Anolis sagrei: one gene and its partner. The protein of the gene in region 1 purifies or fractionates together with the protein of each later gene. This does not show direct contact. Links are inferred from orthologs where the notes say so. Each region holds a gene or a part of one and is shown on either strand. Other genes may lie near its edges.

Region 1 (12,322 bases):
CAGGAATACATAGCATTGAGCCATGGTGGTGTCACACTGTATTAATTCTACTGTGTAGATCAGTGGTTCCCAACCTTTTTTTGACCAGGGACCAGTTGACCTCACTTGCCTAGTTTCCAACAGATCTCACAACTTCTGAGGATGCCTGCCATAAATGTGGGTGAAACGTCAGGAGAGAATGCTTCTGGAACATGGCCTTACAGCTCAGAAAACTCACAGCAACCCAGAGATTTCTGGCCATGAAAGCTGTCGACAACACATTTGAACACTGTGTTCTTGAGTGGAGTCAGCCCAAACATTTCATACATGAAAGGTATCAAACAACCTTAGATTGATAAAGTTTATATTGACTTGTATCGCTCTAATATTGTCATCTCCAATGAACCCAATACATTCATTTGACTACAAATCATCAACTGCAGAACAAGAATGAAGACTTGACCATGATACGAATCACTTTGCCTTGCTGACCCATGCAATAAAAGATTAGTAGATTCGCTCTATATATCTCTGACATACTCAATATGCATGGAAAGTATATATAGGTGAAAAAGACAAGGGTGAAAGAGATACCTGGTGTTTTTAATGCTTCATACAGTCAAAACAAAAATGACCCTCTTTATGCCAGATTTATTTTTACTGATTGTTTTTTTAAATCATAGAATCACAGAGTTGGTAGAGACCTTGTGGGCCGTCCAGTCCAACCTCCTGCCAAGAAGCAGGAAAATTGCATTCAAAGCACCCCCGACAGATGGCCATCCAGCCTCTGTTTAAAAGCCCCCAAAGAAGGAGCCTCCACCACACTCTGGGGCAGAGATCTATGAAAATCTAAAGTCATCTTAGAATTAAACAGTGGATCAGAACTAAAACAACAACTGCCTGGATAAAACACACAGTTTCTTAGCAACAGATAATGTATTCAGTTCCAAAACAAAACAGGCAGATGTGAGTGTTACTAGAGCCATAATTCCAAAATGAAGAACTATATATACCTGGGATTGGTGCACCGGATTATATTGGTGCTTTGGGCCTTATCAAATCACTTCTTCATGTTATATTATTCCATTGGAGAAACACTCCAGCCAGCTTTGTGAGAGTCGCTGATTAGCCATGCTCTCCATCACACTCTTGCCACATTTGTGCTTTAACAGTATCATTTGTATGGGGCTTTAGCATTTAATAGCCTTGCAGCTTCAAAGCCTGGCTGCTTCCTGCCTGGGGGAAATCCTTTGTTGGGAGTTGATCAGTTGGCCTGATTGTTCCTTGTCTGGAATTCCCCTGTTTTTTGAGTGTTGCTCTTTATTCACTGTCCTGATTTTAGAGTTTTTTTAAATACTGGTAGCCAGGTTTTGTTTATTTTCATGGTTTCCTCCTTTCCGTTGAAATTATCCACATACTAGTGGATTTCAGTGGATCTCTATGTAGACTGACATGTTAGTTGTTAAAGTGGTCCAGCATTTCAGTGTTCTCAAATAATATGCTGTGTCCAGTGCTTGGAGAGCATTGTATGATAAGGCTGAGACACAAGGGGGACCCAATGCCTTGCCATTACAGTAAACGCCACAGTATGATAACACTATTTGACTCTCCCAGCTGCAGTTTTGTTTGGCCAAAGGCAAAGGTTCTTTCTTGAACTCAAATGCAATAAGCCTGAGAGTACTGTACCAAGTTTTATTGAAAAGCAGGCAAGGCATCAAAGAAAGAACATACGAACCTTGCAAATTCATTCCCCAATCAGCTGGAACAACAGTGAGGCCAAACCTACTGCACTGATTGTGGTCTGTAGTAAATTACAGTATCGCTGTGTCAATTAATTAGCTACTTTTCTTTCCTTTGGTGTCTTACCACCCAGGTGTATGAAAATTAAACAATTATTCCACAATTTAATTATTGAAATCAAAATATAGTCATGACTTTTGTACCTTTTAGTTGGGCCAATGAAAACATAATAGATACAGCAAATGAATAGACAGTGCCCAAAGAGGGTGGATGGCGGCCAAACTTACTAATTGGGGGGGGGGGGGAATTATCTCATACACCAAATCCATACCTTCCAATTAATTCTACCTTTGAAATATATCCAGCAAAAATAGTCCCTAAAAAAAACTTTAACCCTTAAGGCAGCGTTTCTCAACCTGGGGGTTGGGACCCCTGGGGGTCACGAGGGAGTGTCAGAGGGGTCGCCAAAGACCATCAGAAAACACAGTATTTTCTGTTGATCATGGAGATTCTGTGTGGGAAGTTTGGCCCAATTCTATCATTGGTGGTGTTCAGAATGCTCTTTGATTGTAGGTGAACTATAAATCACAGCAACTTCAATTCCCAAACGTCAAGTTTTTTCACCCCAAATTCCACCAGTGTTCACATTTGGACATACTCAGGAATTTTTCCAGCATATATGGCAAATAAGGGAATAAGGGAATACTATATATATAAAAGGGACACCCTGGTGGTGCTGCGGGTTAAACCACTGAGCTGCTGAACTTGCTGACAGAAAGGTTGGTGGTTCGAATCTGGCAAGTGGGGTGAGCTCCTGCTATTATAAGTAGTAAATTAAAATAGTAAAGGTGGCACAGAGGGTTAAACTGCTAAGCTGCAGAACTTGCTGACTGGAAGGTCGGCAGTTTGAATCCGCAGGACAAAGTGAGCTCCCATTGTTAGCCCCAGCTTCTGCCAAACTAGCAGTTCGAAAACATGCAAATGTGAGTAAATCAATAGGTACCACTTCGTTGGCTCTGAAGGCAGTCATGCTGGCCACATGACCTTGGAGGTGTCTACGGACAACACTAGCTCTTCACCTTTGAAATGAAGATGAGCACCATCCCCCAGAGTCAGACACGACTAGATTTAATGTCAGGGCTATGAGCAGGGTAGAAATAATGCAAATAAATAAATAAATAAATTTACCTTTTACATGCATGCATACAGACAGACATACATACTTACATATATATGATTGTATCACAGCTGTTTTCATTATTTGAAAAAATATATCAGTCAATCTTTACTTAAAGCTTTCAAGTTAATTTACAAAACCAGCATTCAGAACAACAGTAAAACCATGAATAATGAACAAAGGTCACAGCAGAGTAGAACACAATGGCAGCATACAGGCAACATCTGAAAAGTAAAAAAAAAAATGTAAACAAAAATGCTTGTGTAAATAAAGATGTAAAGTGGGTTTAGTTGACACAAAATAAATGTGTGAAAAACGCAAGATTCCACCTCCTTTGCTTTAATTTCAGTACAATATCAAGAGAGAGCCTAGTCTCTTCCCACTATTTCCTCTTTCCACCATTGTTTCCTTAACTTGAATACACCTTTGTATATAAATGCTTTCACACAATATTGGAATGGCCTTGATTGACCAGAACAAAGACAGGAAGATCTACTACTTCCTATATGACTATTGCTTTAAAAAACCTGAAACACCTGGCTCTGTGTTTACAAAGGCATCTTGAACCACCATCTTTTTTCCGATAGAGTTACAAGCTGGATAGATGCAGGGAACGCCGTGATGTAGAGTATCTGGATTTCAGTAAGGACTTCAACAAGGTCCCCATGACCTTCTGGCAAACAGACTAGTCCAATGTGGGCTAGGCAAAACTATGGTTAGGTGGATCTGTAATTGGTTAAGCAAACGAACCCAAAGGGTGTTCACCAAAGTTTCCTCTTCATCCTGGAAAGAAGTGACAAGTGGAGTGCCTCAGGGTTATGTCCTGGGCCCAGACCTATTCAACATTAATGACTTAAGTGAAGGATTAGAAGGCATGACCATCAAGTTTGCAGACAACACCAAATTGGGAGGGATAGCCAATATTCCAGAAGCCAGGAGCAGAATTCAAAACGATCTGAACAGATTGGAGAGATGATTGGCCAAAACTAACAAAATGAAATTCAACAGGGACAAATGCAAGATACTCCACTTAGGCAGAAAAAAGGAAATGCAAAGATAAAGAATGCGGAGCACCTGGCTCAAGAGCAGTACATGTGAAAAAGATCTTGGAGTCTTTGTGGACAACAAGTTAAACAATGTCATGCGGCAGCAACAATGTCATGCAGTGGCAAAAAAGCCAATGGGATTTTGGCCTGCATCAATAGGAGTATAGTGTCTAGATCCAGGGAAGTCATGCTACCTCTATATTCTGCTTTGGTCAGACCACATCTGGAATCACATTGTGTCCAATTCTGGGCATCGCAATTGAAGGGAGATGTTGACAGGCTGGAATGTGTCCAGAGGAGGGTGACTAATATGATCAAGGGTCTGGAGAACAAGCCCTATGAGGAGCCACTTAAAGAGCACTTCCATAGGTATAGCAATTAGACTAGCAATTAGCAATTAGATTAGGATTAGTTGAGACTGTTCCTGCCAGTTGGAGGGTATTCAGATGCAAAGTTCCTCCTGACAGCTCATTTTGATGTAGGTAATACAGAGGAACCCCTGGTGGCGCAATGGGTTAAACCCTTGTGCTGGCGGGACTGAAGACCAAGAGGTTGGAGGTTCAAATCCAGGGAGAGTGTGGATGGGCTCCCTCTGTCAGCTCTAGCTCCCTGTACAGGGACATGAGAGAAGCCTCCCACAAGGATGGTAAAATATCAAAAACATCCTGGCATTCCATGGGCAACGTCCTTGCAGATGGCCAATTCTCTCACAGCAGAAGTCACTCCTGACACGAAAAAAGTAAAAGCTAATGCAGAATGTACTAGTGGATTGTGGTACATTTTTATTATTAGAGGTGAAGGACCATTTGAGTTTTTCAACAGAGTCTAGAGTTGATCCTGTTAGTTGTGCCACAATAAGGGAATCGTGGAGATGCTTAGAAAGGTATGATAGAATCCAACAGCGAAAATAAAGAGCCACAATCCACAACAACAAAACAGTTCTCCAAATGTCTGGGACAACAAAGGTATTAAAACCCCTTATTTTGTAACTACTGGAGCAACTATTGACTGTAAGATGAAAGCATTTCACTGAATGTAATAGCTTGCTGGCTGAGAAGAAACCCAAACGCCTTGTTGAACCTTTTTCACCCCAATCCTTGCCCAAAAACAAAGGGGGGGGGGGGACACAGGCCTGCACCCTCCTTGAAAGGCACGAAGCCTGTGAACAAAGGATAGCACCACATAGAAGAAGAAGAACTTTATTTTTCTACCCTGCCTCCATCTCCCCGAAGGGACGTGGGGCAGCTTACATGGGGCCAAGCCCAAAAAACATATAGTTTATTTATTTATCGTGTCAGGAGCAGACCAAACAGTTGTATTGCATTTTTTAACAAACAAACAAACCACAAAGTTTGCAAGCTTGGTAGTTGATTAAATGTCCTTTAACCAGTAGCTGGCCACTTGGAGTGCCTCTGGTGTTGCTGCAAGAAGGTCCTCCATTGTGCATGTGGCAGGGCTCAGGTTGCATCGCAGCAGAGCTCTGTAGTTTGCTCTTCTCCACACTCGCATGTCATGGATTCCACTTTGTAGCCCCATTTCTTAAAGTTGGCTCTGCATCTTGTGGTCCCAAAATGCAGTCTGTTCAATGCCTTCCATGTCGCCCAGTCTTCTGTGTGCCCAGGGGGGAGTCTCTCATTTGGTATCAGCCATTGATTGAGGTTCTGGGTTTGAGCCTGCCACTTTTGGACTCTCGCTTGCTGAGGTGTTCCAGCGAATGTCTCTGTAGATCTTAGAAAACTATTTCTTGATTTAAGTCATTGACATGCTGGCTGATATCCAACAGGGGATGAGCTGGAGATGTCTCTGCCTTGGTACTTTCACTATTGGCTGCTACTTCCCAGCGGATGTCAGGTGGTGCAATACCGGCTAAACAGTGTAATTTCTCTAGTGGTGTAGGGCACAGACACCCTGTGATAATGCGACATGTTTCATTAAGAGCCACATCTACTGTTTTAGCGTGGTGAGATGTGTTCCACACTGGGCATGCATACTCAGCAGCAGAGTAGCATAGCGCAAGGGCAGATGTCTTCACTGTGTCTGGTTGTCATCTCCAGGTTGTGCCAGTCAGCTTTCGTATGATATAATGCCCGGATGTCTTGCAATCCTGTGAGGAGGCTTTTCTCAGGTCCCCTAACATATAGTTAAAACAAGGCAAATAAAAATAAAAACAGCATACAACCAACATCATAAGCAATAATAAAACAGACATCATAAACAAAAGAAAAAGAAAAAAAAGAAAAGAAAAGTATGATAGAAGTTGAGTGACTTAAGTATGCTCTTCTGAATTAGGCTCAGGGATAATCTTTAGGAAAAGAATAAAAAAATGAAAGTAGGTTTTAAACTGTGTTCTGGAGTGGATGGCAAACCTTTGCAGGCCAGAGTGCTCTGTGCAAAGATGCCGAGGGCTCTGCACTGCCCGGCACACGTGTCCCCATTAATGTTTCCACTGCTTTGGATTGCGCTCCCGTCTTTCCATCACTGCATCTGCAGCGTGTATCCATGGTTGTGAGCTCACATGCAGGGATGGGTTAAAGTAGTGGAAGGCTGGTGTATTCTAGCAGAGTTAGTGACTTCTCAGCTACAGGCTGCAGAGCAAAACAGGGAAACAAATGATTTGAGAGCGAGAGAAGGAACAAGAAGGAAGGAGAGCGTCCTGGGAAGAGGGGAGTTAATGAAACGGGAGGGGGGTAAACAGTAGTGAGGAAAAGGACTATCTCAAAAGTATTGCTTCAAGTGCCCGGGGAGCACTTGAATCTATGGATGGGAACTCTTCACAAAGCAACAATAAAGTCCAGAACAAAGAGGAACCAAGAGGCCGGCTAAGAAATGAATGAAAGAAAGTTGGACCCAGACCAAGTGTTGTGAGTGATGTGGAAGGCAAGCAAAACAGAGCGACCAGGAGACCAAACAAATTTAGGGGATGTAACCCAAGCTGGATGAGGTGCTGGCAATTTTTCTCTTTTTATCCTCCTCTTGAAAGCTGGATTTTCAGGATTCAGATGGAAATAGGCTGACTACACACCAGGTAAGAGACTATTTGTTGTCATTATGTACAATGTCACTGAGAGCCAGAGTGTTGTGGTTTGATTGTTGGACTTTGACTCTGGGAAGCCAGTGGTCAAATCCACACTTTGGCTTTGGAAATACACTGGATGACCTGTAAACAAGCGAGACCCCTGGGGATATTTCCAAAATCTGTTGGAAATAGCAACTTTCTACAAGGCTCCTATACTAGTCATTTGTTATGTATATACAGTAATTCAGATTGCTTACTGCAGCATTCCTCAATCTGGGGATTGGGACCCCTGAGAGGGATCACGAATGAGTCTCAGAGGGGTCGCCAAAGAACATCAGAAAACACAGTATTTTCTGTTGGACGTGGGGGTCTGTGTGGAAAGTTTGGCCCAATTCTATCCTTGGTGGGGTTCAGAATGCTTTTTTATTGTAGGTGATCGATATATCCCAGCTACTACAATTCCTAAATGTAAAAGTCTTTTTTCCTCAAACTCCACCAGTGTTCACATTTGGGCATATTGAGGATTCGTGCAAAGTTTGGTCCACATCCATCATTGTTTGAGTCCACAGTGCTCTCTGGATGTAGGTGAACTACAACTTCAAAACTCAAGGTCAATGCCCACCAGGGTGGTCCGTGAGAAGGCCTTACTGGTACATTATTTAAACTGTTATGTTTATTCATATCATGATCTGATCACCATGCTCAGTATATCCCATATGCATGGGTGTATTGGGATAATAATACAAAAGGTTTGCTAGGGTAGATCCTGACCCCCCCCCCCAGAATCAAACACAGCCCCCCCCCCCCCCGCCCTGCCCCCCGAATCAAAATTCTGGCTACGGGCCTGATGCTCACCAAACCCTTCCAGTATTTTCTGTTGGTTATGGGAGTTCTGTCTGCCAAGATTGGTTCCATTCCATCATTGGTGGAGTTTAGAATACTCTTTGATTGTGGGTAAACTATAAATCCCAGCAGCTCCAACCCCCAAATGATAAAATCACACACACACCCAACCCCACCAGTATTCAAATGTGGGTGTATTGGGTATTTGTGCCAAATTTGTTCCAGTGAATGACAATACATCCTGCATATCAGATATTTACATTATAATTCATAACAGTTGCAAAATTATAGTTATGAAGTAGCAACAAAAATAATTTTTGATGCAAGGGGGGGGGTCACCACAGCACGGTGATCTCTATTAAGGGATCGTGGCATTAAGAAGTTTGAGAACCACTGCTGTAAACAAATCTTGCCAAGAAAACCTTTGGTTCACCATAAAATGGAAATAACTTATAGGCACAATATAACAGTAGTAATGTACTATGCACATGCTTGAGATTGGAGCTGATGAATTTCCTATGCTGATGATATGTGTCTGTAAATGTTTATAGGGACATCCCCCCCCCCCCCAAATCATTTTATTTCAGTAATGTAGATGCTGGTACATAAAATCTTAAGTTACAATTATATCTTTCCATAATTAAGATGCCTCAAGTCTTCTGGTTTTAAAAAAATGTATACCATTTAATCAGAAATATTTGCTTGCACTAAATGTTAAGGTTCTAATGGTACCAGTTTCTCTGCAGACCATATTTTTAACCCAGCTTGATGAATGCTCAGTTCTTCAGTCATCCACCCCACCTCACCCCACCCAATTGGTTTGGACAATTCTTCTTTAAGGTAGTTTCTTAGGTTGTTATGTTCAAACTACTAATTTCAAAGTGTTATGGAATGATGTCAGTAGGATACATTTCTAATGGGTTCTTCTCATGAGTGGGATGCTCACAGGATTCCAGAACAATGGAACTAAAACAAAAATAGCTTATGTGCTTATGTTATTTGTAGTCTCAGGGACTCTGTCCATGCTACCCCATGTTACAAAGAGAATGTTTATATGGATACCATTTATTCTTCTGTTTCACATTAAGATGATGTTGAACATCATCTTAGGGGCAGTAGAAGTGAATCATCAGGAATAATACAATCTATATCAGGCATGGGCAAACCCAGACTCAGGGGCTCTTTTCTCAGGCCCTCCTCTCTCTCACCATCCTATCCTTTAGCCCTTCTCTCTTTCCTTGCTCCTTTACTCTCTCCCTTCTTTACCTCCCTCTTTCTCCCTCCCTCCCTCCTTTCCACCCTTTCGTCCTCCCTTCCTTCTCTCTTTCCTCTCTCCTTCTCTCTCTTTCTCCTTCCTTCCCTTTTCTTTCTTTCCTTCCTTCTCTTTCCTTTTTCCCTTCCTAACTTCCATCCTTCCCTTCCACCCTTTCATCCTTCCTTCCCTTTTGTCTTTCCCCCTTCCCACTTCTCTTTCTTCTTCCCCTCTTCCTCCTCCTTCCATCCTTCCCTTCATCCCTTTCATCCTTCTTGCCTTCTTTCCTCCCTCCCTCCCTTTCTTCCTTCCCTTTTTCCTTCCTCCTTCTTTCCCTTCACTCCATCCTTCCCTTCCACCCTTTCGTCCTCCCTTCCTTCCCTCTTCCCTCTCTCCTTCCCTTTTCCCTTTCTCCTTCCTTGCTTCCCTTTTGTCTTTCCTTCCTTCACTCTTTCCTTTTCCCCTTCCTTCCATCCACCCTTCTCTTCTTCCCTTCCTTCCTTCCTTCCCTCTTTCCTTCTTCCATTCCACCCTTTCATCCTTCCTTCCCTTTTGCCTTTCCTCCTTCCCTCTTTCCTTTCTCCTTCCCCTCTCCCTCCTTCTCCTTCCATCTTTCCCTTCCTTCCTTTCATCCTTCCTGCCCTCTTCCCTTCCTGCCTCCCTTACGTCCTTCTCTTCCTCCCTTTCTTCCTTCTCTTTTTCCTTCCTCCTTCCTTCCACCCTTCCTTTCCACCCTTTCACCCTTCCTTCCCTTTTGTCTTTCCTTCCTTCCCTCTTTTCTCCCTCCTTCCCTCTCTCCCTTTTTCTCCTTCCATATTTCCCTTCCTCCCTTTCGTCTTTCCTTCCTTCTCTCTTTCCTTCCTCCTTCGCTTCCTTCTTTCCTTCACCGAGAAGCCATTCCTCTTCGCAGGGAGTACTAGCATGCGGTTCCCAAGTTAGAAAGTTTGGCCATGCCTGATCTATACAAAGTAGCGTAGGAATCCAGAATTTCTTTAAATAAGTTGAAACTAATTGCAAGAAGACACACTTGTGGCACATGTGTTGGGTGTGGAAATAGTGTTGATTTGTGATAGCACACTATATATCAGGTACAGGCAAACTTCAACCCTCCAGGTGTTTTTGACCGGCTGTTAGGAATTGTGGGAATAGAAGCCCAAAACACTTGGAAGGCCAAAGTTTGCCCATGCTTGATATATATCTACCTGTCTCCTTCACCAGATGCAAAGATCATGATGGAGTGCCAGCCTAGAATAGTGGTTTGAGAGTTGGACTAGGACTCCAGGAGATCAGGGTTCGAATCTCTTCTTGAACTGAAAACCCAGTGGGTTCCCTAGGGCAAGTGCACTATCTCAGAAGAAGGCAATGGCAACTCTCCTCTGAACAAATCTTGCCAAGAAAACCACATGATATGGGCTTCGGGTTGCCCTAAATCAGAAATGACTTGAAGGCACACAATAGTGATAATGACCACAAAGTCTTGTTATATAAACAAAGTGCAAGTAGTTATCATTCGGTTTGTTGTGAGTGTTCCAGGCTGTATGGCCATGTTCCAGATGCATTATCTTCACCCACATCTACGGCAGGCATCCTCAGAGTTTGTGAGGTCTGTTGGAAACTAGGCAAGTGAGGTTTATATAACTGTGGAATATCCAGGGTGGGAGAAAGAACTCTTCTCTGTTTGAGGCATGAATGTTGCAATTGGCCACCTTGATTAGCATTGAATGGCCTTGTAGCTTCAAAGCCTGGCTGCTTCCTGCCTGGGGGAATCCTTTGCTGGGAGGTGTTAGCTGGCTTGAATTTGAATAGTTTCTTCCTGGGTGACCCAAATTCTCTATTGGTGGAAAATTATGTATGCCATACATGTATGCCATACATGTGCCACCATGTAGTCTAGTTGTGCCCGACTCTAAGCTGAAGAGCCGGCATTGTCCGTAGACACTTCCTAAGTCATGCGGCCAGCATACCTGCATGGAGCGCTGTACCTATTGACCTACTCACATTTACATGTTTTTGAACTGCTAGGTTGGTGGAAGCTGGGGCTTAAGCGGCTGAGGGGGAAAAGAAAAGGGCCTGAGGCTGTTAGGAATTCTGGGACTTGAAGTCCAAAATACCTGGAGGGCCCAAGTTGGCCCATGCCTGCTCTAGTTAGAAACTATTATTGGTACATAAGTAGGATTACACTGTGAAAGCCTCACAGACAGAAACCATTTAATATGGAATTATTGATCATGGAGCTCCAGTTAGGAGTCATTAAAGCCTAGAGGGCCTATAATAGGGCCAAATGCATGCATTTGATAGCAGTGTAATGATGATACTGCAATTATTTGTATACTGTGAGAGGGAATTTGGCCTAAAGATGAGTTGGTGACATCGCGTAAGCAAATCGATCTCCATTTAGCTCAGTTGTGCATGATACCACGAGGAATACAGTCAGCCCTCCCTAGCCACGGATTCAACCATCCATGCCTTGGAAATATCGCCCTGCTCCAAATTCCAAAGGCAAAGCTTGATTTTGACATTTTATATAAGGAATGCCAATTTACTACACATTATACATAATGGGACTTGAGTTTTGAGTATCCACAAAGCAGAGGGTCCTTGAACCAAATCCAGTAGATAACAAAGACTTGTTGTATTGTCCTTGAGATGAAATATCAGATTGGTGAGCTTTGCAAAGAATATTCAACCTGTGCAAAGAAGAGCATTGGATAAAGTCAAATTTCAGGATATAGAAGAAAGAAGTGTATTCTCTTAAATTTGTGACACAAAACAAATAGAAATCCTTCTACTTCTTCATGACTCAAAACTATTGTTGTTGTTGTTGTTATTATTATTATTATTATTATTATTATTATTATTATTATTATTTGAAACACAACAAGATGAGTCCACAGCAGACAAAATCATTCTGCTGGCTGTTGTATTGGATCACACATCGGATATTTCCCAAGTGTGATGTATCGTCAAATAATGCATGCAGATCCCAGTGAGGTGGCCTTCTGCAGCTGGCAGACGGTAATTTCGTCAGCTCTAATTGTGTTTAAGTGCAGGCCAAGGTCTTTAGGCACTGCACCCAGTGTGCCAATCACCACTGGGACCACCTTTACTGGCTTGTGCCAGAGTCCTTGCAGTTCGATCTTTAAATCCTCATATCGTGTCAGTTTTTCCTGTTGTTTCTCTTCAATCCTGCTGTCATCTCGGATTGTGACATCGACAATCCATACTTTGTTTTTTAACACAATAGTGAGTTCAGGAGTATTGTGCTCCAA
Region 2 (11,378 bases), on another chromosome or scaffold:
GAGGCCCTGCTCTCAACCCCACCACTGTCACAAGTGAGGCTGGTGGGGACAAGGAGCAGGGCCTTCTGGTGGTGGCCCCTCACCTGTGGAACTCACTCCCGGGGGAAATCAGGACATCATCATCCCTCCTCTCCTTCAGGAGGAGGGTAAAGACGTGGCTATGGGACCAGGCCTTTGGGCACTCTGGCAATTAAATAAGACATTCAGGCGAGTAAGACCAACAGGATTGACGAAGTGGAACGGAAAATTAGAACTATGAGTTAGCGAACGCTGACCACGTAGGAGGAGGAATTGGGTTTGTATTGGTTGTATTGATTTTATTGATTTTATGGGTATAATGCTTGAATCGTTGTTACCTGTGAATTGATGTAATTTTGTAATTTTGTGTTTGATTGTTCTGTGATGCAGGCATCGAATTGTGCCTTTGTTTTTGTAAGCCGCCCTGAGTCCCCTTCGGGGTGAGAAGGGCGGGGTAAAAGAACCCCGAAATAAATAAATAAAATAAATTGGCCCACCCGTGGATTGGGGAGAGGAGAGGAGGCAGGTGGAGCGCCGGGGGATCAGGAAAGGGAGCCGGTCATGGGGAAGGGATCGAACACGGAGAACGATTGAGTGCCGGCTCTGCTCGCGCACCTGGTGGCCAGGTGGAGTAGGAACGAGAGGGGCTAGGTGAGGCTCAAGGGCACGGCCCCTTTGGGAAGAGGATCGCCCGGCAGCGAGGCAAGAAAGCCGAGGCTCCCCCCGGACTGCTAGGGCTGTTGTGAGCTGAGGGGGGCTCCTCAAGTCATAGAATCATAGAATCAAAGAGTTGGAAGAGACCTCATGGGCCATCCAGTCCAACCCCATTCTGCCAAGAAGCAGGAATATTGCATTCAAATCACCCCTGACAGATGGCCATCCAGCCTCTGCTTAAAAGCTTCCAAAGAAGGAGCCTCCACCACACTCCGGGGCAGAGAGTTCCACTGCTGAACGGCTCTCACAATCAGGAAGTTCTTCCTCATTTTCAGATGGAATCTCCTCTCTTGTAGTTTGAAGCCATTGTTCCGCGTCCTAGTCTCCAAGGAAGCAGAAAACAAGCTTGCTCCCTCCTCCCTGTGGCTTCCTCTCACATATTTATACATGGCTATCCTATCTCCTCTCAGCCTTCTCTTCTTCAGGCTAAACATGCCCAGTTCCCTAAGCCGCTCCTCATAGGGCTTGTTCTCCAGACCCTGGATCATTTTAGTCGCCCACCTCTGGACACATTCCAGCTTGTCAATATCTCTCTTGAATTGTGGTGCCCAGAATTGGACACAATATTCCAGGTGTGGTCTAACCAAAGCAGAATAGAGGGGTAGCATGACTTCCCTAGATCTAGACACTAGGCTCCTATTGATGCAGGCCAAAATCCCATTGGCTTTTTTTGCCGCCACATCACATTGTTGGCTCATGTTTAACTTGTTGTCCACGAGGACTCCAAGATCTTTTTCACACGTACTGCTCTCGAGCCAGGCCTCATCGTCCCCCATTCTGTCTCTTTGCATTTCATTTTTTCTGCCAAAGTGGAGTATCTTGCATTTGTCACTGTTGAACTTCATTTTGTTAGTTTTGGCCCATCTCTCTAATCTGTCAAGATCGTTTTGAATTCTGCTCCTGTCCTCTGGAGTATTGGCTATCCCTGGCGGTCGAGGGGCATTTACAGAGGCTCCTCTGCACCCCTGGCAAAAAAAAAGTGTTTTGCGACCGCTTACTTCGCATAATGGACGAGCCGCCCCTGGGCGAACAGCAATCAATGGGGAGCTTTCTACGGTTTCATCTGAACGAATCCCTGAATTCAGTGCAAGAAGATGCCGTAAATACGGAACACGGCTCTGCATTTAGAGCAGAACAGACTGATCTACAAATATAGGGCGGGTGGCACATGGCTGCACAGCAGAACACGGCAAAAGGATGCCTTCGTCAACCGAGAAGGAAAAAAAGCCATTGACTGATATTGTAAGGCTGCAAAAGGAACATAAAGCCCATTGAAATGGTCCAAGCTCCTCTGGTACCTCACCAAACTACAAATCCCATGGTTCCATTGCTTACAAATCGCATGGTTCCATTGTTTGACACCTGATTCCACCTTAAATGGGTCCCTTTGGGAGCCATGGCTGTCCAAGTCTTGGATAGGAATGTGACCAAAAGTTAGAGAAGTAGCTACATTGGGGAATGGATTCATGAAATTATAGAGTGGAAGTGTTAGCAATAAATTATCAATAACTTTAAAGCAGTGGTTCTCAACCTTCCTAATGCCACGACCCCTTAATACGGTTCCTCATTTGTGGTGACCCCCAACCATCACATTATTTTCGTTGCTACCTCCTAACAGTCTTTTTTCTACTGTTATGAATTGTAATGTAAATATCTGATCTGCGGGATGTATTTTCATTCACTGGACCAAATTTGGCACATATACCCAATACACCCAAATTTGAATGCTGGTGGAGTTGGGGGGAATTGATTTTGTTGTTTGTGAGTTGTAGTTGCTGGGATCTATAGTTCACCGACAATAAAAAAGCATTCTGAACTCCACCAATGATGGAATTGAACCAGCCTTGGCACACAGAACTCCCATGACCAAGAGAAAAGACTGGAAGGGTTTGGTGGGCATTGACTTTGAGTTTTGGAGTTGTAGTTCACCTACATCCAGAGAATGCTGTGGACTCAAACAATGATGGATCTGGACCAAATTTGGCACAAATATTCAATATGAACACTGGTCGAGTTTGGGGAAAATAGACCTCGCCATTTAGGAGTTGTAGTTACTGGGATTTATAGTTCACCTACAATCTAAGAGCATTCTGAACTCCACCAATGATGGAATTGAACCAGCCTTGGCACACAGAACTCCTACGACCAAGAGAAAAGACTGGAAGGTTTTGGTGGGCATTGACCTTGGGTTTTGGAGTTGTAGTTCACCTACATCCAGAGAGTGCTGTGGACTCAAACAATGATGGATCTGGACCAAATTTGGCACAGCTACTCAATATGCCCAAATGTGAACACTCGTGGAGTTTGGGGGAAATAGACCTTGGCATTTGGGAGTTGTAGTTGCTGGGATTTATAGTTCACCTACAATCAAAGAGCATTCTGAACCTGACCAACAATAGAATTGGGTCAAACTTCCCACACAGAATCCCAATGACCACCAGAAAATACTCTGTTTTCTGATGGTCTTTGGCGACCCCTTTGACACCCCCTCACGACCCCCTCAGGTGTCCCGACCCCCAGGTTAAGAAACACTGTCATAAGGCATAAATCATAACTTTTTTTTTGCAATTTAGTTTCGAGTCCAAAGAAAACATAGCAAACTAAGTTGGATGATTGATGATATACATCTCGTTCAGTCATAGAATCCTAGAGTTGGAAGAGACCTCATGGGCCATCCAGTCCAACCCCATTTTGCCAAGAAGCAGGAAAATTGCATTCAAAGCACCCCCGACAGATGGCCATCCAGCCTCTGTATGAAAGCCTCCAAAGAAGGAGCGTCCACCACACTCTAGGGCAGAGAGTTCCACTGCTGAACAGCTCTCACAGTCAGGAAGTCCTTCCTAATGTCTTTCAATCCAAATTTGATGGGGATGATGGGAATTGGAGTCCTACCCTATGGACTTTGGGAAATGTTTGGGTTGAGGGATCAATGGTTTAACAATCCAAGATTTATACTATTATTGTATTGTCAAAGGCTTTCATGGCAGGAATCATTGGGTTGTTGTAGGTTTTTTTGGGCTATATAGCCATGTTCTAGAGGCATTCTCTCCTGACATTTCCCCTGCATTTATGGCAAGCATCCTCAGAGGTAGTGAGGTCTGTTGGAAGTAGGAAAAGGGGTTTATATATCTGTGGAATGACCAGGGTGGGACAAAGGACTCTTGTCTGCTGGAGCTAGGTGTGAATGTTTCAACTGACCACCTTGATGCACCAACAAGCCACACCAAACAACAGCCAGGCCATCAAATGCTAATCAAGGTAGTCAGTTGAAACATTCACACCTAGCTCCAACAGACAAGAGTCCTTTGTCCCACCCTAGTCATTCCACAGATATATAAACCTCGTTTCTAGTTCCAACAGACCTCACTCCCTCTGAGGATGCTTGCCATAGATGCAGGCGAAACGTCAGGAGAGAATGCCTCTAGAGCATGGCCATATAGCCCGGAAAAAACATACAACAACCCAACAAGGACATCTAATCACCTCTCAGCAAAAGTTTGCTCCAGGCACTGTCAAGCCATCAAATGCTAATCAAGGTGATCAGTTGAAACATTCACACCTAGCTCCAGCAGACAAGAGTCCTTTGTCCCACCCTGGTCATTCCACAGATATATAAACCCCTTTTCCTAGTTCCAACAGACCTCAATACCTCTGAGGATGCTTGCCCTAGATGCAGGCGAAACGTCAGGAGAGAATGCCTCTAGAACATGTCCATGTAGCCCAAAAAACTCTATTATTATTCTGCTGTATGGATAACATGATCAATCAATGTCCCAATCAACTGCACACAAGAGAGCAAGGAATTGATATCTCAAGTAATTGATCCACGTTGTTTGCTATTGGTCGGGTACTCCCCTGGGATAGTTTCTCCCTATCCATATTGGTACCACATCACAGCATGCCATAATGTCCCTAAGGGAAAATTGCACCCCAAACCCCAAATATATTCTGAATATATCCCCCCCCCCATTTGCCAAAGAGGGGGACAAATAATAATAATCCACAAAAGGCGAACCCGGCCTCGGCCTTACCTTGTCTGTTCACGGGCATCTCGCAGGCGGTTTGTACATGTACAACCTTAATCTCCTAATCTCCCTTCCCAAACATCTGCCAGCTTAAGAGATTTGCCCAGCAGATTGCAACCTCTGACCCGTCTTCCTCCGCTCCGAGGCATCCTGGGATGTGTAGTTCTTCTCTCTTGACCCCTCCGAAGTTACTCTCACACAGCTGTTTTCCGGTTCAGAAAGTTGGACGTGAGGTTTCTGAAAATCAGTTCCTGCCAAAGCCTGCCCTGTTTTGTAACGGCATTTGTGGCATGTTCAAAAGGCAGGCTTATTATTATTATTATTATTATTATTATTATTATTAGGTACACAAGATGGATGGATGGCATCCTTGAAATGACTGGACTGACCTTGAAGAAGCTGGGGGTGGTGACGGCCGACAGGGAGCTCTGGCGTGGGCTGTTCCATGAGGTCACGAAGAGTCGGAGACGACTGAACGAATGAACAACAACAACACACAAGATGAGTGCACAGCAAACAAGATCACTCTGCTGGCTGTATCGGCGAATAATGCATGTAGATCCCAGTAAGATGGCCTTTTGCAGCTGGCAGATGGTAATCTTGTCAGAGCCGATTGTGTTTAAGTGCAGGCCAAGGTCTTTAGGCACTGCACCCAGTGTGCCAACCACCACTGGGACCACCTTGACTGGCTTGTGCCAGAGTCTTTGCAGTTCCATCTTTAATTCCTCATATCATGTCAGCTTTTCCAGTTGTTTCTCTTCAATCCTGCTCTCACCTGGGATTGCGACATCGACAATCCATACTTTGGTTTTTAACACAATTGTGAAGTCAGGAGTCTTGTGGTCCACAACTCTGTCAGTCTGAATCTGGAAGTCCCAGAGGAGTTTGGCGTGTTCATTCTCTGTAACTCTTTCCGGCTTGTGATCCCACCAGTTCTTTGTCTCAGGTAGATGGTGTTTGTGGCACAAGTTCCAATGGATCATCTGAACATCGGTGTTGTGCCTCTGCTTGTAGTCTGTCCGCGATCTTCTTGCAGCAGCTGAGGATGGGATCTATTGTTTCAGCTGCTTCCTTGCAGAGTCTACACTTGGGATCTGTCATCGACTTTTCAATTCTGGCTTTGATGGCCTTGCTTCGAATGGCTTGTTCTTGGGCTGCCAGAATCAGGCCCTCCTTCGTCTCCTTTTTCAAAGTCCCATTTGTGAGCCACAGCCATGTTTTTTCTTTGTCAATTTGACTCTCAATTTTTCCCAGGAACTGTCCATGGAGAGCCTTCTTCTTTCGCCAGTTTTCTCTTCTGCTCTGGGTTGTGTTTTTACAGTATTCACTCTTTGTCTTTTGCACTTTGAGCAGTTTTCTGCTATTGACTTCCCTCAATGTTGGTTCTTGATTGCCTTTCACATAATCTTCCAGTGCGTGTTCCTCTTCTTCTACCGTTTGTTTCACTTGCATTATTGTTGTTGTTGTTGTTATTATTATAATATTATTATTACCTTAAGAACAGACAAGCATCCCGAGCTCTGAGGATTACCTGGGAAGGAATCCCACTGGAGCATTGCAGCACACCCAAATTCCTGGGAGTCACTTTGGACCGTGCTCTGACCTACAAGAAGCACTGCCTGAACATCAAGCAAAAAGTGGGCGCTAGAAACAACATCATACGAAAGCTGACTGGCACAACCTGGGGATCACAACCAGACACAGTGAAGACATCTGCCCTTGCGCTATGGTACTCTGCTGCTGAGTATGCATGCCCAGTGTGGAACACATCTCACCACGCTAAAACAGTGGATGTGGCTCTTAATGAGACATGCCACATTATCACAGGATGTCTGCGCCCTACACCACTGGAGAAATTACACTGTCTAGCCAGTATTGCACCTCCTGACATTCGCTGGGAAGCAGCAGCCAATAGTGAAAGGACCAAGGCAGAGACATCTCCAGCTCATCCCCTGTTTGAGTATCAGCCAGCATGTCAATGACTTAAATCAAGACATAGTTTTCTTAGATCTACAGAGACACTCGCTGGAACACCTCAGCAAGCGAGAGTCCAAAAGTGGCAGGCCCAAACCCAGCACCTCAATCCGTGGATGATACCAGATGAGAAACTCCTTCCTGGGCACACAGAAGACTGGGCGACTTGGAAGGCGCTGAACAGACTGCGCTCTGGCACCACGAGATGCAGAGCCAATCTTAAGAAATGGGGCCACAAAGTGGAGTCCACAACATGCGAGTGCAGAGAACAAACCACTGACCACCTGCTGCAATGCAACCTGAGCCCTGCCACATGCACAATGGAGGACCTTTTTTCGTCAATACCAGTGGCCAGATACTGGTCAAAGGACATTTAACCAACTACCAAGTTTGCAAAATCCGTGTTTTTTTTTTCCCTTTTCCCTTTTTAATCTGTGTGTTTGTTTTGTTCTGTTAGAATTGTAATACAATGGTATGGTTGCTGATGACACGATAAATAAATAAATAATAACAATAATAATAATAATTATTATTATTATTTGAAACACAAGATTATTACACAGCAGCCAGAGCCCCCGGTGGCGCAGTGGGTTACACCCCTGTGCTGGCAGGACTGAAGACCGACAGGTCGCAGGTTTGAATCCAGGGAGAGGCGGATGAGCTCCCTCTATCAGCTCCAGCTCCTCACGCGGGGACATGAGAGAAGCCTCCCACAAGGATGATAAAACATCAAATCATCCAGGTGTCCCCTGGGCAACGTCCTTGCAGACGGCCAATTCTCTCACACCAGAAACGACTTGCTCCTGACATGACAAAAAAAATTACACAGCAAAGGTCACTCTGCTGGCTGTTGTATTGGATCACACGTCGGACCCTTCCCAAGTGTCTAGGACGGTGTGTATTGGCAAATAATGTGTGCAGATCCGAGTCAGGTGGCCTTTTGCAACCGACAGATGGTAAATTTGTCAGCACCAATTGGTTTTAAGTGCAAGCCAAGGTCTTTAGGCAATGTACCTAGTGTGCCGATCACCACTGGGACCCCCTTGATTGGCTTGTGCCAGAGTCTTTGCAATTCTTTAAATCCTCATATCGTGTAAGTTTTTCCAGTTGTTTTTCATCAATTTCGCAGTCACCTGGCATTGCAATGTTGTTGTTGTTGTTGTTAGACATTTTAGGTATCTTCAAAAAGCAAGCTTAGATGATGATGATGATTATTATTATTATTAAAGGAAGGCTTATATTATTATTATTTGAAACACAACAACATTCCTATGCTGGTTTTTGTATTAGATCACATGTCAGACACTTTCCAAGTATCTAGGACTGTGTGATGCATCGGCAAATAATGTGTGCAGATCATAGAATCCTAGAATCAAAGAGTTGGAAGAGACCTCCTGGGCCATCCAGTCCAACCCCATTCTGCCAAGAAGCAGGAATATTGCATTCAAATCACCCCTGACAAATGGCCATCCAGCCTCTGCTTAAAAGCTTCCAAAGAAGGAGCCTCCACCACACTCCGGGGCAGAGAGTTCCACTGCTGAACGGCTCTCACAGTCAGGAAGTTCTTCCTAATGTTCAGATGGAATCTCCTCTCTTGTAGTTTGAAGCCATTGTCCCATTGCGTCCTAGTCTCCAGGGAAGCAGAAAACAAGCTTGCTCCCTCCTCCTCCCTGTGGCTTCCTCTCACATATTTATACATGTCTATCATATCTCCTCTCAGCCTTCTCTTCTTCAGGCTAAACATGCCCAGTTCTCTAAGCCGCTCCTCATAGGGCTTGTTCTCCAGACCCTTGATCATTTGAGTCGCCCTCCTCTGGACACATTCCAGCTTGTCAATATCTCTCTTGAATTGTGGTGCCCAGAATTGGACACAATATTCCAGATGTGGTCTAACCAAGGCGGAATAGAGCATGGGGAGCATTACTTCCTTAGATCTAGACACTAGGCTCCTATTGATGCAGGCCAAAATCCCATTGGCTTTTTTTGCCGCCACATCACATTGTTGGCTCATGTTTAACTTGTTGTCCACGAGGACTCCAAGATCTTTTTCACACGTACTGCTCTCGAGCCAGGCGTCACCCATTCTGTATCTTTGCATCTCATTTTTTCTGCCAAAGTGGAGTATCTTGCATTTGTCACTGTTGAACTTCATTTTGTTAGTTTTGGCCCATCTCTCTAATCTGTCAAGATCGTTTTGAATCCTGCTCCTGTCCTCTGGAGTCTTGGCTATCCCTCCCAATTTGGTGTCGTCTGCAAACTTGATGATCCTGCCTTCTAGCCCTTCATCTAAGTCATTAATAAAGATGTTGAACAGGACCGGGCCCAGGACGGAACCCTGCGGCACTCCACTTGTCACTTCTTTCCAAGATGAAGAGGAAGCATTAGTGAGCACTCTCTGTGTTCGTCCACTTAAGCAATTCCAGATCCACCTCACCGTAGTTCTGCCTAGCCCACATTGGACTAGTTTCCTTGCCAGAAGGTCATTACTGAAATCCAGGTACGCTACATCCACGGCATTCCCTGCATCTACCCAGCTTGTAGCTCTATCGAAGAAAGAGATCAGATTAGTCTGACATGACTTGTTTTTGATAAATCCATGTTGACTATTAGCGATGACTGCTTTTGTTTCTAAGTGTTTGCAGACCACTTCCTTAACAATCTTTTCCAGAATCTTGCCCGGTATCGACGTGAGGCTGACCGGACGGTAGTTGTTTGGGTCGTCCTTTTTTCCCTTCTTGAAGATTGGGACCACATTGACCCTCCTCCAATCTGCTGGAACTTCTCCCGTTCTCCAAGAACTCTCAAAGATCTGAGAAAGGTGGCCTTTTGCAGCTGACAGGTGGTGATTTTGTGAGCCCTAATTGTTTTTAAGTGCAAGCCAAGGTCTTTAGGCACTGCACCCATTGTGCCGATCACCACTGGGACCGCCTTGACTGGCTTGTGCCAATCTTTGCAGTTCGATCTTTAAATCATCATATCGTGTCAGCTTTTCTAGTTGTTTCTCTTCAATCCTGCTGTCACCCGGGATTGCAACATCAACAATCCATACTTTGTTTTTTAACACAATCGTGAGGTCAGGAGTCTTGCTCCAAAACTCTGTCTGTCTGAATCCGGAAGTCCCAGAGGAGTTTGGTGAGTTTTGTTTTCTTTGCCAACTCCAAAGCCCTGGATTTCCATATCATGGGGTCAGCCTAGTTAAAAGTAGTATGAAACTGGATTAATTCTGCAGTGTGGATGCACTCTGATGTGTAGCAACCTGCCTTGCAATGCACCCTCTTTTCTGTATTTCCTATCCATCCTCGGCCTCTTGCAATTGCCACGTTTGGAAACAATCACAGCACCCAGCTTCACTTCCAAACTATTAGTGAAAGGTATTTAATAATCGTAAGGAGATGACAACAACATGGATTGGGAAAAAAACCTGAAAACGAGACACTCTTTGGATTTTTATAGCCAAATTCATGGATTATTGGGACGTGAAAACAAAACAATCGGGTGGGTTTCGGGATCCAATTTCCCCAAATTTATTATTATTATTATAATTGTGGGAGAAGAGGATGGGAGACGACAAACCGAGAGCTCAATGTCTACAAAAAAGGAGCCAAACCCAAAAGGAAAAGTGTGCGTAAGGCTTCCGTTCCATTGAGCTCAGGGCAACTATGGCTTCTAATGTGTCTGCATAGGTTCCCCGTGCTTAAGGGGCGCATTAAGGCATTTCTATCTCAAAGAGGTATTTGTCGTCTCCCTTTTTGGAGGCGGTGAGCGACTCCTTCCCATTGGATGGCTGTTGATATCTGACGGAGGGCGATGTGCGCATGCGGACGGCCTGAGAAGCGCATGGGGTTCGATGGGGGGCCCTCAAATGCCCAGGGGGTTGGGGGTTACGATCCCCTCGCTCTCCACCACCGCCTTGGAGATGCCCCTGAGGTTCTTGAAGAGCTGCCGTGTGGAGCTCGAGCGCAAGGAGGACAGGTTGCGGGTGACCCGGTCGGAGGCCTGTGGGAAGGAGGGAGGAAGAGACAGAGGTCAAGGAACAATCGGCCCTTGGGGTCCACAGAGGTCATCTAGCCCACCCCTTGCTCAACTCAAGTGCTCTGGGGAGAGAGAGAGACATCTATCTAACCCAGGCATGGGTCAACTTTGACCCTCCCTCCAGGTGTTTTGGACTCCAACTCTCACAATTCCTAACAGCCTAGTGGCTGTTAGGAATTGTGGGAGTTGGAGTCCAAAACACCTGGAGGGAGGGCCAAAGTTGGCCCATGCTTGCACTTAAGACTTCTTTTCCAGACCTTTGAGCCCTTTGGCTGTCTTCCTCCTCTTTCTAGAACTTGGGGCCCATAACTGGACACAGAAGAGGTATTCAAAACGGGAAGAAGGAAGGAAGGAAGGAAGGAAGGAAGGAAGGAAGGAAGGAAGGGAGGAAGGAAGGAAGGAAGGAAGGATGAAAAAACATTCCAAATGACCTGAATGGATGGATGGATGGAAGGAAAGAAGGAGAAGGAATAGTTGACTTAACTTGGATGGATGGATGGAAAGAAGGAAGGAAGGAATGAGTATTCAAAATGACCAACTTGTCTGGATGGGTAGATGGATGGATGGATGGATGGATGGAAGGAAGGAAGGAAGGAAGGAAGGAGGGAGGGAGGG

The links.
Region 2: the proteins of KCNJ4 (region 1) and DLG4 purify together in Homo sapiens (affinity purification with western blotting, with the first as the bait; 3 studies listed by BioGRID). This does not show direct contact. The link is inferred for Anolis sagrei from reciprocal best matches to the Homo sapiens genes KCNJ4 and DLG4.

What each region holds. Positions count from the first base shown.
Region 1 is NC_090025.1:164,045,811-164,058,132, forward strand, and holds the start of KCNJ4 (inward rectifier potassium channel 4), read left to right. Parts: upstream 1-6,403; 5' UTR 6,404-6,967; intron 6,968-12,322. UniProt on the Homo sapiens protein: Inward rectifier potassium channels are characterized by a greater tendency to allow potassium to flow into the cell rather than out of it.
Region 2 is NC_090026.1:4,288,648-4,300,025, forward strand, and holds the start of DLG4 (disks large homolog 4), read right to left. Parts: upstream 4,837-11,378; 5' UTR 4,783-4,836; coding exon 4,764-4,782; intron 1-4,763. Other genes in the region: ACADVL (very long-chain specific acyl-CoA dehydrogenase, mitochondrial), read right to left, coding at 10,590-10,727. UniProt on the Homo sapiens protein: Postsynaptic scaffolding protein that plays a critical role in synaptogenesis and synaptic plasticity by providing a platform for the postsynaptic clustering of crucial synaptic proteins.